2 linked regions of the Alligator mississippiensis genome follow. The protein of the gene in region 1 purifies or fractionates together with the protein of each later gene. This does not show direct contact. Links are inferred from orthologs where the notes say so. Each region holds a gene or a part of one and is shown on either strand. Other genes may lie near its edges.

Evidence for each region. The genes of interacting proteins can lie anywhere in the genome.
Region 2: the proteins of UPF1 (region 1) and SLBP purify together in Homo sapiens (affinity purification with western blotting; 4 studies listed by BioGRID and IntAct, with this or other methods). This does not show direct contact. The link is inferred for Alligator mississippiensis from reciprocal best matches to the Homo sapiens genes UPF1 and SLBP.

Annotation. Positions count from the first base shown.
Region 1 is NC_081839.1:1,283,015-1,290,494, reverse strand, and holds the start of UPF1 (regulator of nonsense transcripts 1), read right to left. Parts: upstream 3,004-7,480; 5' UTR 2,783-3,003; coding exon 2,558-2,782; intron 1-2,557. UniProt on the Homo sapiens protein: RNA-dependent helicase required for nonsense-mediated decay (NMD) of aberrant mRNAs containing premature stop codons and modulates the expression level of normal mRNAs.
Region 2 is NC_081825.1:17,630,689-17,638,534, reverse strand, and holds the start of SLBP (histone RNA hairpin-binding protein), read left to right. Parts: upstream 1-4,846; 5' UTR 4,847-4,901; coding exon 4,902-4,969; intron 4,970-5,074; coding exon 5,075-5,200; intron 5,201-7,846. UniProt on the Homo sapiens protein: RNA-binding protein involved in the histone pre-mRNA processing.

The DNA.
Region 1 (7,480 bases):
AGACTGCACGGTGTGCTGTCAGCATTTCAGGCCGTGTGCTTTTAGAAGACTCACGTAGACAGGAAGCACGGCACCCTTTCCATCTGTTACCTTACCTTAGAGTACAAGCGCTTTTCTAAATGCCTGTCCACCCTCAGTGTCTTACGGGGCAGTGCATTTCAGAGTTCCCCGCTTTACAGACGGGAAAAGTGAGGCACAGAGTCCGAGTAACATGCCCATGATCACGTAAGAGATCTGGAGGCGCAAGAAACCAAACCCGAGTCTCCCACACTCCAGACTACAGCCCTATCCGGCTAGCCTCTGCCAAGCAGTTTTTCAACCAGTTGAGCATATTAGCAGTTGAGTTGAGCCGTGTCCCTCCTCTACAGTAGACTTTAAAAAACTTGTCAGTGGGCATATCAGCTAATGTGCCAAAAGCAGCTATTTTAAATCTCTGCCTGGAGAGGGCCCTGAAGAACATGAAAGGGAGAAGAGGAAGTAGGTGGTGAGAAACAGAGGTAAGACAGCTGCAGTTAGAAGATCAGGAGTGTAGCAGTGTGTGCAGAAAGGCTGATTTACATACAGGCTTTAGAAAAGGGCCGCATCAGCTGACCTGTGAAGAAAGAAACTGTATGGCCATCACTTTTGCACCACTGACCCCTTATTCCCTTGCTAGTGGGACACTAGTCGACTTCAACGCCTTTCAAAGTGCTCAGCTTAATGCCTGCCACAGGAAGAAAGCCCTCATGTGGGAAAGTGCCATTTCCTACACGGTCGCAAGTTGGGTCTGCTAACATGCACAAGTCTGGACAGATATGTACCGAAACTGCAAAGACAAAGCAAACGTGGTCTGAGATACACTATGGTTTATACTGCCTACAGAACAGCGAAAAAATATAGTCTTGGTAAAAAAAAAAAAGTGCTTTTCTTCATGCTTGTTTTGCCAGTTTTGAAAACTATTCAGCAGCTTGTTGATAAAACTCCAAAATAAGATCTTCCCTTGAGTGGGGGTAGATGATCCTCGCTACCTCAATATCTTCTTTACGTGTTCCTTTCAAAACAGGAAAATGCCTTTAGTGTTAATCCCGAGGCAGAGACTTTTAACACTGGTACGGCACTCAACCAGGAAAATCACGAGGCAGCGCCGCCAGATGTGAGCAAACCACCAAAGAAAATGTAGAAGTGGCGTGACAGCTCCTAGAAACTTATGACAGGACGATACACGGTACAAGCACGGTGCCCGCGTATGCTATGAAACTATGTCTATACACACAGGACAACACAACCCGGTTACACTCGCAGGCCTGGCACACGCGGGGTTTTGATGAGATCAAACCTGTGTACCGCTTGGAAAAAAAGTTTATTTTTTGCCCTACCAGACAAGCCGTCCTGTCACCGTGCGTGCTTTTCTGGCACCCGGGTTTGAATGCACGGATTTGACATCCAAATAAACGCACAAGAAAAAGACACAAAGGTGAACTGAGAAATCCCTGTCAAGACCCGAGTTCAGGGGCCTGGGTTTCTGCTACCGACACCAACAACTGCAGCTAAAACCAACGCAGGGACCTGCACTCCCACTTCTGCCTTTGATGCATTGGCAGCAGGAGCACAGTCCGAGCAAGAACGCAACCCAAAATGAAACGTACTTCACCTGCTAGAGCCGATTCTGGGCTTTACCAGCATTGCGATTCACTTTTAAAACTTGCATTTCAATGTCCCCACGGTTTGCAAACAGCTCGCTGCAGGGCAGCAGGACCCCACACGCACACGGGGATGGGCGGCCTGGATAAGACGCTGCGGCCCCGACGTATGAAACCGCCGTTTTTCTTTCTAATGCAATTTTCCAAGCGTCCGAGCCGCGCCGCCGAGGCAGCTGCGATCCTCAACGATTATATTTCCTTCTGCGGTGGTCCGACCCCAACTCAAATCCTCCCTCCTCTTCCTTCCCCAGCCCAGGCCGAAGCCCCAGGTAGCAGCAGACCCGCCGCGCCCCGGGGAAGAACATCACTCACGTTCCCGACTGACGTTGGGCCCTAAAGTCTCCCTTACTCACCTTTGACTCCTTCCCCACCTGTCCCTTTACCTTTTCTTTCCCTAATTCCTACCTATGTACGCGCTCTCACGGACGCTTTTAGCCTCTTCCGCTCCTCGAAGACGATCGCGCGCCGCGCAGACTCCCTACGCCGGACGAAGGGGGCTGCGCCCGCACGCTCGCAAAGACCTTTCCCCCCCCAGCTATTTCGCTGGTTTAATAAGAGAGCGGGGGAACGCGGTCCGGAGCCGTTTCCCGCTCCGTGGAAGACGGACGCTTGGTTTATATTGTCTTTGAAGGAACGAAGCTGCGGCGCGGTGTAGTTCTTGCCACAATAGTTTCTGCGTCTGCCCAAGGAACCGGCCCAGGCTGACACGCGAGCTGCTGCCCCGGCTTCTGGGGTCGGCGCTTTGGGGGTGCCGAGTCGTGCGTTTGGTGACACTTCTCGCCCGCTCGCCCGCCGGCGCTGGGCCGGCCCCAGCCCCACGGCTGCACTTCCCCGCCGCCCGCCGCCACGTGCTTGGGGAGAGGGATCCCCCGGCTCACCTGCGCCTCGATGGGCCCCGGCGGGCCCTGCCCCACGCCGGCCGCGCCCGGGCCCTGCCCCGGCCCCGGCTGCCCCGGCCCGGGCGGCGTCTGCGTCTGGCTGGGGAGGGTGAAGTCGGTGAACTCGAACTCGGAGCCCTGCGTGTCGGCGCCGAGCAGCTCGGCCTCCTCCGTGTCCAGGAAGGTGAGCGTCTGCGAGCTGGGGCCGTACGCCTCCACGCTCATGGCGGCGGCCGGCCGGGCCGGGCCGGGGCCCGCACCGCACCGCACCGCACCGCACCGCACCGCACAGCACCGCACGCCGCGCTTGGGCCCCGGGAGGCGGAGGCGGAGGGAGGCGGAGGCGGCGGGAACGGGAACAGGAACAGGCCGCGCGCGAGCCCCGCGACAAGGAGCCAACGGCCGCCGCGCGCCCGAGCCCAACCGTGCGGCCGCCGCGCGCCAGGCCCCGCCGTGACGACACACGCACGCCAGCGCCGACGCGGCGCGCCACGTACGCCGCGCCCGTGACGTAGCACGCACACCTGCGGGGGGAGGGCGGGGTCTAAGGCTCGCTGAGGGGAGGGGGGAGAAGCGCCGTTTGTCATTGCCCCTCAGTGAGGTGAAGGGAGGGAGGGGGTCTGTTATTGCCCCCTCAGTGACATGAAAGGAGGGAGGGGGTCTGTTATTGCCCCCTCAGTGGGGTGAAGGGAGGGAGGGGGTCTGTTATTGCTCCCTCAGTGACTGGGGGGGTCTGTTATTGCCCCCTCAGTGACATGAAAGGAGGGAGGGGGTCTGTTATTGCCCCCTCAGTGGGGTGAAGGGAGGGAGGGGGTCTGTTATTGCTCCCTCAGTGACTGGGGGGGTCTGTTATTGCCCCCTCAGTGGGGTGAAGGGAGGGAGGGGGGTCTGTTATTGCCCCCTCAGTGACTGGGGGGGTCTGTTATTGCCCCCTCAGTGGGGTGAAGGGAGGGAGGGGGTCTGTTATTGCCCCCTCAGTGACTGGGGGTCTGTTATTGCCCCCTCAGTGACATGAAAGGAGGGAGGGGGTCTGTTATTGCCCCCTCAGTGGGGTGAAGGGAGGGAGGGGGGTCTGTTATTGCCCCCTCAGTGACTGGGGGGGTCTGTTATTGCCCCCTCAGTGGGGTGAAGGGAGGGAGGGGGTCTGTTATTGCCCCCTCAGTGACTGGGGGGTCTGTTATTGCCCCCTCAGTGGGGTGAAGGGAGGGAGGGGGTCTGTTATTGCCCCGTCAGTAACTTGGGGGGGGTGTTATTGCCCCCTCAGTGATTGGGGGGGTCTGTTATTGCCCCCTCAGTGAGGTGAAGGGAGGGAGGGGGTCTGTTATTGCCCCTCAGTGACTGGGGGGGGGGGTCTTCCGGTGCCCCCCAGCGAGGGCTGTGTCCCTGCAGGGGTGGGGCGGGCAGGCGGGGCTCCCGTGGCAGTAGCACTGCGCAGAGGTGTGAGCCCCGGCCCTGTGGGGACAGGCGGGGGGTCCTGGGAGTTAACCTGCATCAGAGGAGACGGGGCACAGCCATGCGAGCGTCGCAGGGGACGGGACGGGACGGGACGGGACAGGGCGAGTGGGTTGCACCCGGGGCATGAGAGCAGCGTCCGACTGAGGTGTGTCCGAGAGCCCCGAGCGCGGCTGTGAGACCTCCAGTGCCGGTTGGTGAGCGTTCGCCGGGGATGGTGCAGACAGGCCCAGACGATCCCAAACGGCGCCAGGTGGCCCTTGAGAGCTCTTCCAGCCTTATTTTTCAGTGGTTTGTGGTTATCAGGCTGTCGCTAGAGAAGAAATCTCTGTACCTGTTTCCTTTAGGACAGGGTTCTTAACCTTTTTAGACTCAACCCACCCCCGTTAGACTCAAAGCCGCCCTCGGATAATGCTAGCTTAGTTCTCGCTCCTTTTTTGACTGCAATTTTTCCGTTGCAAAGAACTCCAGAAGATGGCAACAGGTGAGAGTGTTTTTAGCGCTATGGACTCCTATTTGGATTGTCTGGGTTTATCATGAGAGTCGTGTTTGCACACCTAACAGTACTAGCATTGTGTGGCACCCTTGAAAGGATCTCGGAGCACCCCAGGGTGCCATTGTACCCTGGTTGAGACTCACTGCTGCAGGGGTGCAAGATTTTCCACCTTCCCTTTCTTATCAAGACTTTGTATCCAGAGTGGATGAATGCTGTATCCGTGCATTGGCTGCCTACCTGCCCTTGTTTGCAATAGACTGATCACATCCCCGTGTCCAGGTTACATGTCAAAAGCCACCTTGCCCACTTGACGTGGGGTCCAAATGGCTAGAGCAGGACACTGGGATTGAGGGCTCCCTGAATCTGTTCCCACATCACTAGGAGAGTGTGGTGTAGTGGTTAACCAGGAGTTTGGGAAGTACAACTCCTGGGTTAATTTCCTCTTTTCCTCCCTCAGTTTCTTATCTGTAAATTAGAAATAAAAATACCCATTTCACACTAAAATGTAAAGATTAATTAATCATTGTAAATCATTTTGAGACATATGGGGATTGAGGAGTATCAAGTACTAATTGGAAATTTGGCTGTGATTGAGAATGATCAAGTTTTGTTACTGTTTACTGTGCTATTTGCACATTTGGCAAACAGTTGCACAAGAGGGTCTGTAACTGGATATGCTGTAGAAATTGAGCTCTCTGCTCATCTTCAGAAATGGTCCTGCCAGGTCCAAGCTGAGGGACATTTGAGAAGATGCATGGGAATTCTGTGAAGACACGGAGGACTTTGGTTTTGGGTGTTTTCATCCCATTGCCTTTTACTAGTTCAAAATTCAGAGCTGTTCTAAACTAACTTCTTCAAGTTGGTTGTGGCAAAATGAAATGGAAAGCTGGAGATGGTCATTCTCCCCCCCCCCCCCCAAAAAAAAAAAAAAAAGTGATTTCACAGCTACTGAAGATGGGTATATATTTCCTTCAACACATAGCCTTTATTTTGTCCCTGTTTTCCCTGTAGAATGAATCCCAGGAACAGACGCGCAGGCATGCAACGGTCCACTAGAAGCATTGATGTAGAATGGAAAATTGCACCTTCTATTTTCTGAAGCTTCCTCCTCGTTGGACTATCCTATACCAATCATATGTAGAAAAAAAAAAGTAGAGAAGCTGAGAGGGCTAATATTTCTATATACACATTGTTTGATTTCACCTTTAGTTCTGAGTGCCCTTGAAGAAGCGGAGTATGCTCTAGGCCTAATGTAAAATTGTCCACATTTACAGTTGTGACCTAGTAGCTAGCACCTTGCCCTCCACTATGGGCAGTTCTTGGTCTTCCTAACTAGCTTTCCAGGACTGTGATCCACATATAAATATGTAAATGTTCCTTGAATAGACAAATCTATCTGGTTGATGATAAAAGAACTGCCCCTTAATCCAGTTTTATCAAGTGATATTATTTAGCATCTAAGGGCAACTTGGGGCCTATTTACCAGTGAGCCATGAGAGGAATCGGCTAAACCTGGAACCTTAAATTGGAGAAAACTTGCTTATGAATTATATATCCCTTAATACCCCTTTATACAGTCTTGTCACTGACTTCTTTAATGAAGGGGAGGATTAATAAGGAGTTCTTAAATCTGCCAGTTATCCAAGGGAATCCCCACTCGTGGAAACAGAGCCGGAACACTAAAGTAGGTTAGTGAAGTGAACCATTAAGGGCAAGAATGGAAAGCTGACTGTGATCACAGCCCCTGCCGCTATCCTGTGCCAGGGCACAAGTCTAAGTCATTCCACAGAGCTTCCACAGCTCAACAGTAGTTACAGCCCACCTGAATTAATCTGCAAGTGTTTGTGTGATAAATAGAAAATCAAGTGAAGAGTTATTTTCAGTTATCCTCAAAGGTATCTTCTTTTGTCTTAATATTCTCATTATTTTTAGTGTCCCATGGAAAAAAACCTTATAAAATGAGATCATTGGGTCCAGTGTCACGGTACTTTCTGTTTTGTTGGCTGTCATGAAAGAGTTCTTGGGAAGGAGACTCCCCGGCCCTGAGCCTTACACCGCTTCTCTAAAATTTACAGTTTCCCTATTCTGCAAAAGCAAGGAACAAATCAATCTTGATCTGTGTATCAGTAATAGTAGGAGGATAATTATCTGGGTCCTCAGAGTCCTCCTATCTTATAACCATCTCAGTCACGAAGCTCTGGATGATGTTAGCAAGAATGAAACATGAAAGCTCAGTCATAAACTTTGAAGCATCTTCACTGAAGACAGGTTTGTGGAAGACTGCATACATATGTGGGCCCAAGGATGGTGCAAGTCGGTGACATCTGAGCAGGTAGGTAAAACTGATCTATGAAAATGTGTCTCAGCCAGTTTAGAGCTGTGAACAAAAGTCCTGCTCTCTGTGGAGCCAACTCTAGGCTTATCATAAGGAACTTTCCCACCACGTTGACCTTGTGTTGTTGGGTTTTTTTGTTTTTAAGGATTTTATTCTGGTGAAAGGCATGAGTCCAAGAGCAGTAAAAGAATGAAACACCATGTATCCACAACATGCAGAACATGGGCAGTTGCAAGTGCAGGCTTCTTCCATGCTCTCTCCTTGGAATGCACCTCAGCTGCTTTCTGAAGAAAGCCCCTTTACATCTGAAAGGTTAGTTCAGTTTCCATTGTCCCTTCTAGCCTCGACTTCTGAGATTTGCCAAGAAAGGGGATAATTGTGGGGTGGCTTCATGGCCTAGAGACTGGGCCTCTCGGAGCTCAGGACCAACAACTCTTTTCATTTAGGCCATTGGTCAGCCATCAGGTTGAGTAGTTTTGCACATTGTAAGTCTGGAACAGATTCACCTGGTAATCCAAAGGTTTTGGAGGATTTTGTATTGTCATTTGCAGACTGCAAAATCATCCATTTCTCACAGACCTCTTCATAATTTTGGAGAGCTGTGAATTTTGAATCAGAAAAAATGTAAATGACATGAACT
Region 2 (7,846 bases), on another chromosome or scaffold:
AAGGAAAGTCCTGCACCCTCAGACTGGGCTGGCTCTGTGCCTCCAGGTGGTGCTTCTGCCACTTCTAGCTGGGAGTGGCACATGGAGGCATGAAGCCAGAGTCCTATGAGCTCCCTGCAGCAGAGCAATCACCAGCGGGGTATGTGTGTGTGCATCACTGTTCTTACCTGAGTTTCCACTCTTGGACTGAGGGAGAGCAGGGGAACAGCAGCAGGGTCCCAGGCCAGAAGTCTCTGCTAGGCAGAAGCTTCTGGTGGGAGCTAAGGGTAGGGTGGGGTGTGGGAGTGCCGGGTGGGTCTTGCTGCTGGGTCCTCCTGCCCATCACTGGCGCCTCATCGGCTTTTAGATAGGCAGTCACCAGCAGGCAATAATTTTCTAAATTTTAGAGGAACCCCACAAGCCAGATAGAATGGCCTGATGGGCCAGATCTGGGCTGCAGGCTGGATTTTCTCTGTTCCTATGATAAGCCCTTAATGCTCCTTCCTTTATCAGTGTTGAGACACCCTGTTGCCAGCTGGCCAAGTGAGCGATTCACACCTGCACAAAATCCATCTGGCCATTTGCATTTCTAAGGCTGACACTGCTGTAATCAAAACCAGGGTCTCTAAGGGTTTCTGCTTTAGGTTTCAAAGTCCTCTCAGTAAAAGTCTGCCTATGGCAGCTTGGCATGCAAGTTATACCACTTTCCAGAGTTGCATAAGTGCTTTATACCCACTGCAGTGTGCCAGTAATGCCTTTGTAGATGCTTAGGAGCTATACTGAAACCAAGTGTTCCCACAGAATTGAACATTTAATTTTTTACATCTTCTGCTTTGTGGGGATCACCGTGACTGGAAGCTCCCCCCCCACACATGCATAGTCCCCCACTTGAATAGCCTACCATGTTTTGAAACATTTCTGTTCCTACTAGGTAACCTTAGCAAACCTGCAGGTATGGCTGCAGGCTGACCTCATGCTTGGAAGGTGCCTGTTTTGCAGTCTCCCCATCTCACAGTTCTTGACAAACACTTTCCTACTATCCTCCCACTCAACCCCAGTAATTCTTGCAGTTAGCATTGATAGATGGACACAGTGGTCCCTGGTCCAAAAAGAAGGTCTGGATTTCCTTGGTGATGCAGTATGAGTGCAAATACAGCATTTCTGAAGGAATTGAGGCAGTTTATGTGGAAGAGGCAGAAATTGAGGTACAAGAGTGGTGAGTTCAGGCCCAGGCACAGGAGAAGGAAATCCAGAAGACTTTACCAAGAGACAAAGGAGCCCAGCAGAATGTGCCATGCTCTCACCAGAGGCACTGCTACTAGTTAAAACATAATGCTAAAGGGAGTAGGAACCACTGATTTAACATGGGGAAGAACTGCACAGTGATAACTTGCTGATTGAGGAATGGGGGATGTGGACAATGTGGTGCCCAGAGACAGGCATGAGACAAGGTCATAGAAACTACTACTGCCTGTAATCAGTCCTTACTAGGCTTACTTGAGGATGCCCCCACCTGCTCCCACATGACTACAGGGTTTGTAAAATACCCCCTTAAATGCCAGCAGTGTGCACCAAGGGCAGTGAGTCTGTCCCTGTTCATTTTTGTGTAGATCTATAGGAAAAATAATAGGAAAGAGCAGGCATCCAATGATCACTGTCAACTAACCTATTAATGCTAACAGCAGATGTTTGGTGATATATCGGTAGCTTAAGCTGGGATACTTTTGCAGACCCCCTTTCCATACTGCTGAAAGACTGACTGTGATAATGAGTCAAGAACAATGAACAAGATATGTGTTCTTGGAGCTACTGGAGAAATTTGGATCTAGAGGCCAGGGAATGGAGAGAAAAGCATGCTGAAGAAAGTGTAGGAAGCCCACAAGGTGCATTGAATTGCAGTCTATGCAGAACAATGTATCTGAAGTCCTATGGTCTGGCCGTCGTCATGCTGTGTGGATGATTCCTTCCTCCTTTGGCCTGAGGTGTATACTTCCCTTCCAGACCCCTCTGTGGCCTGCAATAGTTTCTCATGCAGTGGATAAGGAGAGCTGCTGTCCAGCCCAGGAAACCAAACTGTGATGCAACCCAGAGTGGTCAGCACCTTGTGCTTTTTTTGTCATGCTAAAGTCCTATTTTGTGAAAACCCATGAGTGTTTTGTTTCCATGAGCAGAGAGGTAGTTAGCCATATTAGTCTGAAAACAGGCAGAAGGCAGGGAATCTGTGCACCTCATAGACCAACTAAATCAGAGATCTATAACATAAGTTTCATAAAACCAAGCTCACTTGTTCAGATGCTGATTAAGTGATCACAGCATCTAATGAAGTGAGTTTGGGCTTACAAAAAAATTGCACTATATAGATCTGATTTCATTTATGAGGTGCAAATGTACCCTGTATTTTTTCTCAACACAATGGAGCTGTAGCTCCACCCCAGGTTCAATAACACCATACCAAATTCTAAAGTGTAAAACAATTCAGAACCTGGCTGTGTACTTTACCTTAAAAAATAAGATTACTGGCTGTGTCACACAATCAAAGGGCGTTTTAAGGCCTTCCTCATCTGTACAGCACCTCAGTGGGTGCTAGTAATTGCCCTTGAAATAGGCTGCTCAGAATCAGCAGTTTCCACTTCCTGTTTCCATTCTTCTATAATGCTTCACTTCTAGCCTTGCAAATATTATGCAGAACACAACATGCAATAAAAAACGGCTAGTCTAGAGAGCTAATCTAGTTCTAAGACACGTTCACTATCCTTTTATGCACACTACAGTAGAAGTTTTGCCTTTTCGGAAAAAAAGATTCTAGTTTTAGTAGGTCTGAGGATGTCGTGTCCGCATGTGAACTACCGTATGTAGAAACCAGGAATTATGCTGTGCTTCTGGCCTTGTTACTACAAGAAAAAAAATCAGGAGCTGAAATTCATACATGTCCATCCCTCTGTGGTAGCAGTGTGAAGGCCTTAACATACAAGGATTCTTTCTCTACAAGTAGGAGAACATGTATCTTTATTTAAAAAAAAAGGCATTGAACAGAGCTTTTAGAATCTGGGCAGGATGGGAGAGGACTTCTGCAGACGTGTTGCCTGCAAAGCCATACAGGCAGCTGTGCAAATGGGATGCAGTTCTCTTTCTGATCCTTGCAGGCAGGGTAGGAGGTTTATTTTCTTTTTAGGAAGGAAATAAATAGTTCCTTGATCCAGGATCTCTGCTTACCTTGTTCTACTTGTATTTAAAACAAACAGAAAAGAGGGCATTTAAATGATCAACTAACAGCCCATTGAGAAGAAGAGCATAACAGCTCATGCTATTCTCTAAAATGCAGTTTCTACCACATTGGTATGGCTATAACTGTGGAAAATCAATGTCCTTTTTTGTCACTACAAAAGCAGTCTCTGCATGTTGCTTATTCTGATTCAGCTTCAAGGAAGTTAACAATATTTGAACCCTTCTCTAGATGCTTTAAGCCTTTCAAAAACATCATGTAACTGAGTTACATACAGTTATCTGCACTCTTCTAGCTCCTTAGCTTCAGGGGCATAAAAGAACAACTAATTTCTGGGGACCTTTTGTTCCCAATTACAGCAGGGATTTACATGCCCTGCACTACACACAGGAACTGCACTGTGCACTGGGCTCCGCAATACTAGATATGTGGGAGCTCCTTGGAGGCAGGGGCAGGGATCGTACTCTTTGAACCCTTGGTAGAGAACTGGCTGTGTTATCTTGCAAATCAAGGGAAGCGATTCTTATGCTCTATTCCACACTCATGAATTGTGTCCAGTTTTGGGCCCATGCTTCAAGAGGGATGCAGAAAGATTGAAAGGGTTCAGTGCAGACCAACAGAAATGATCAGGGGCTTGGGAGACGAGACCTATAAGGAAAGGCTGAAAAAGCTAGTCTGAAGGGAAGATTGAGAAGGGATTTGATAACAGCCTTCAAATACCTGCAGAGCAATTATAGAGAGGATGGAGATAGGCTTTTCTCTGTGGCTGTAGGGGTCAGGATTAAGAGCAACAGCCTCAAGCTGCAGGAGGGGATATTTAGGCTGGAGACTGGGAGGAGCTGCCTGACTATGAAGGGGGTCAGGCATTGCAACAGGCTGCCTAGAGAAACTCTGTAACCTCCTCCACCCCTGGAAGTTTTCAAGAGCAGGTTGGTCAGACACTTGGCAGGGGTGGTTAGTCAGGGCTGATCCTGCCTTGAGCAGGGGCTGGAGTAGATGACCTTGTGAGGTCCCTTCCACCCCTCCTTTCCTATGATCTTGCTCAGTAAGTGGAGGTGAACATCCTTGTGGGCTGCAGGTGGCTTGTGCACAGCATGGCTCACAAGTGCCCCAAGCAAGGGGTGGATCCATGGGGTGGAGGTGCAGTGGTGCACTTGCACCCCACCTTTGGATCCACCCAAAGTTTAAAACCAACTGCCTGGGAGGGACAACTGCATTTCTATTCAGGAAGTGCTGAAAGAGTCAACTGACTTCATGGCTTATTATCATCTCCCTCTCCTCGATCTCTCCCCCCCCTACTGCCACCCTTGTTTGCTTTCCTGCAGAATTGCACCCTGGGGTGAGTAAAGCTCCTAGTTCCCCCTCCAGGCCTGAGCAACGCCCCGCGCATGCGCTAAAGCCACCCCAGCGCCCACTTCGGATTCTCCCGCCAACACGCCCCGAAGGGCGGGGCCGCTGCGCACAGGACGCGCCAGCTGCCTGACGCGTCCATGAGCCGCCACATGTGGGGGGGAAGGGGAATGTTCCATTCCCCCTCCTGCTCATACCATTTGTCCTCGCTAATGGCGCCGGTGGGGAATGGAACATTCCGAGTCGCTACCCCCCCCACTCACTGTGCTCCATGGGCCGGCCCGCGCATGTGCAGTGCGGGGAGAAGGGTGAGGCGACGCGGGACCGCTCAGTCGGCGTCCGGCGGGAGATGCGAATGGAGGGTTCGAGCTGCGCCCCCCGCGCCATGGCCTTCCGCCCGCGCGACAGCGACTGCAGGTCGGGGGCAGGCAGCGGCCGGGCCCTTCCCGCGGGGGGCGGTTGGGGAGGCGGGAAACGTGGGTGGGGAATGGGGGCTCTCTGACGCTTGTCCCGTCCCCGCAGCCCCCCGGCGCCGCCGCGCTGGGCCCACGGCAGGAAGCGCGGAGCCGACGGGAAGCAACGGACGCCGAGCGGGCCTGAGGACGAGGACCAGCCGCGGGCCAGGCCGGCGGGCGGCCGCGCCGAGAGGTGGGTGCTCCTCGGGGCCGGTCTCCCAGGGGGTCGGGTGGCTGCACAGCGCAGCACAATAGGAAACGCCGCCGGGCGGGAGCGAGGGGCCTGTTTATCCGAGCGGGACGCGGGATGGGACCAGTGAAACGGGCCGGGGGTGTGAGCGGAGGGACAAGAAGACCCTGCAGTCCTCCTGCCCGGAGCCGCCTCCCTGTTGGATATGTCACAAGCGTACGCGGGGCCGGGAGCGGGTCGGGTATCTCGCCAGCATCGCCAGGGCCAGGAGTACCGGGGGAGGCTGTACATAAAATGGTGGGAGGGGGCGGGGGGAGGAGTCCTGTGGCCAGGAGCTCAGCAGGAGGCTCTGCAGGAGGTGGCGAAGGGGCCGGGACCCAGGAAAGACGGGCTGGTTTGGCAGCGCGCCGCGGAGAACGGAGGCTGATGGGCTGCCTGCTGCTTGCAGCCCGCACCTCGCGTAGCCCCGGGCGGCGGGCTGTACCCCCCTTGTAAACATCAAGGGCCAGTTGTGAGCCCGGTGCCCCTCAGTCCTGACCCGTTGCCCCCAGTGTGGGGCACGGAGCCCCGGCCAGGCTGGGACTGGGCAGCCTGCAAGGGGGAAACTCACTGATTTCCCCACCTTTTTCTCCTTTTAAAAGAGAATCCATTTTTTAAAGCTTGCTGATCCATTTTTTTTTTTTTTTTTTAAGCTTCTCTGCAACCCTTTCCTATATTCATGGGACCCACTTTTGGTTTGTGAGAGGTGGGTTGAGAGACACTGCTCTAGGGGCCCTGCTGCACCTTCAGATGAAAGCTGAGTAGCTGTTGAGCTGTTCTGTATTTAATAGCAGGAATGGGCCTTTTAATCATGTGATCATGACTTTGTACATGTGGCCTGTCTAAATTTTTTGGGCAATTGGCCAGTTAATTGTATAATGCTGAGGCCTAGCAGTAGATGGTCACCTTGCTGGGGTCACCTGACCCCCAGTTGTTTTTCCTGCTTGGTGCAGGGGGCTTGACCCCATGATTTTCTAAAGTCCTTTCTGGCCCTACAGTCTATAAATCTATATGAAGTTGGGTAGGGGGAAGTGGGGTGCTTGGTCAGGCATTATGACCTTACAGCCACAGCTGTTCCTTTCCCACTGCTCAACTGACAGGGGCAGAGTTCCCCGTCTGCCAAGGTGACTGCAGCACAACGTGATCCAAATGCCAAACCTGGCTCTGGGCTAGTGAAGAGTCCAGTGTTGATATATGCTAGATTTACCAAGACAGGAAACCCTGTTTTCTTCTCTTTGCTTATGAAATCTTATGTACCCGTTTAGGTACCATATTGCAGGAAAAAAATTATAGTTACCTAGCAAACATCTTCATGAATGTGCTCAGAGTTGAGGCACTGTTTCTGTTGCCAGTATAACATTAAGCACATTGCTACTCCATTCTTGCAATCGGTGGCTTCTGTTTTACTTGCTGGGGCTGGCATATAAATAAGAAGCTACACAATTGAAGCTTAACTTCACTTTGAAAAGTGACTAGTATTAGTTCTGTGGTGTTGTCCAGGTGGCCTGTGCATCATAGCCTCAGACATGCTCAATTAACAGAAAAGATGTTTGTTAACATTAGGGATGTGAAACAAGCTGTTAGACTATAATTATATTTAAAACATTAATTGCAATGCATTAATAGTAAACATGGGGCTCAGCCTGGTGGTGAAGGGAAGTGGCCCAGTGCCCCAAGAAGGTGACCAAGCAGGCACTGTGGCTGCCTCATCTGCTTGTCCCTGCTTGCCCCTGCATGAACTCTCTTCAGGAAAAATTGGGAAAAACAGCGCAGCTTTTACTACTGACTGTACTGTCATCTGCCACCACTGAGAATAGGTCCAGCTCCATCATCTTTGGAACCACCCTTCAGGGAGTTGACAGCTGCTGTTAAATCCCCTCTCAGTCTTCTTTTCTCCACACTAAATGAACCCAGTTCCCTCAGCCTTTCATCATAAGTCATGTGTCCCAGCCCCTGAACCATTTTCGTTGCCCTCTGCTGGACTCTCCAACTTTTTCCACATCCTTTCTGTAGTACAAGGCCCAAAACTGAATACAGTACTCCAGATGTGGCCTCACCAGTGAATATAGAGCAGAATAATCACTTCCCTTGACCTGCTGGCAACTCTCCTACCAATGCAGCCCAGTATGCTGTAAGCCTTCTTGGCAACAAGGGCGCATTGCTGGCTCATATTCAGCTTATTGTCCACTGTAACCTCCAGGCCCTTTCCTGCAGAGCTGCTGCCCAGCCAGTCAGCCTGTACTGGTGCATGGGATTGTTCTGTCCTAAGTGCAGGACTTTGCATTTGTCCTTGTTGAACCTCATGAGATTCCTTATGGCTTAATCCTCCAATTTATCTAGGTTACTTTGAATCCTGGCCTTACCCTCCAGTGTATCTACTACTACCTCTTTTCCCCCCCCCCCCCCCCCCCCACATGCTGTCATCTGCAAACTGGCTGAAGGTGCAATCTGTCACATCTTCTAGATTTGTTAATGAAAATATTGAACAAAACCAGGCCCAGGACTGACCCACTCCACTTGATACCAGCTGCCAACTAGACATTGAGCCATTGATTACTACCCTCTAAGCCCAATGATCCAGCCAGTTTTCTATCTACTGTACAGTTCATT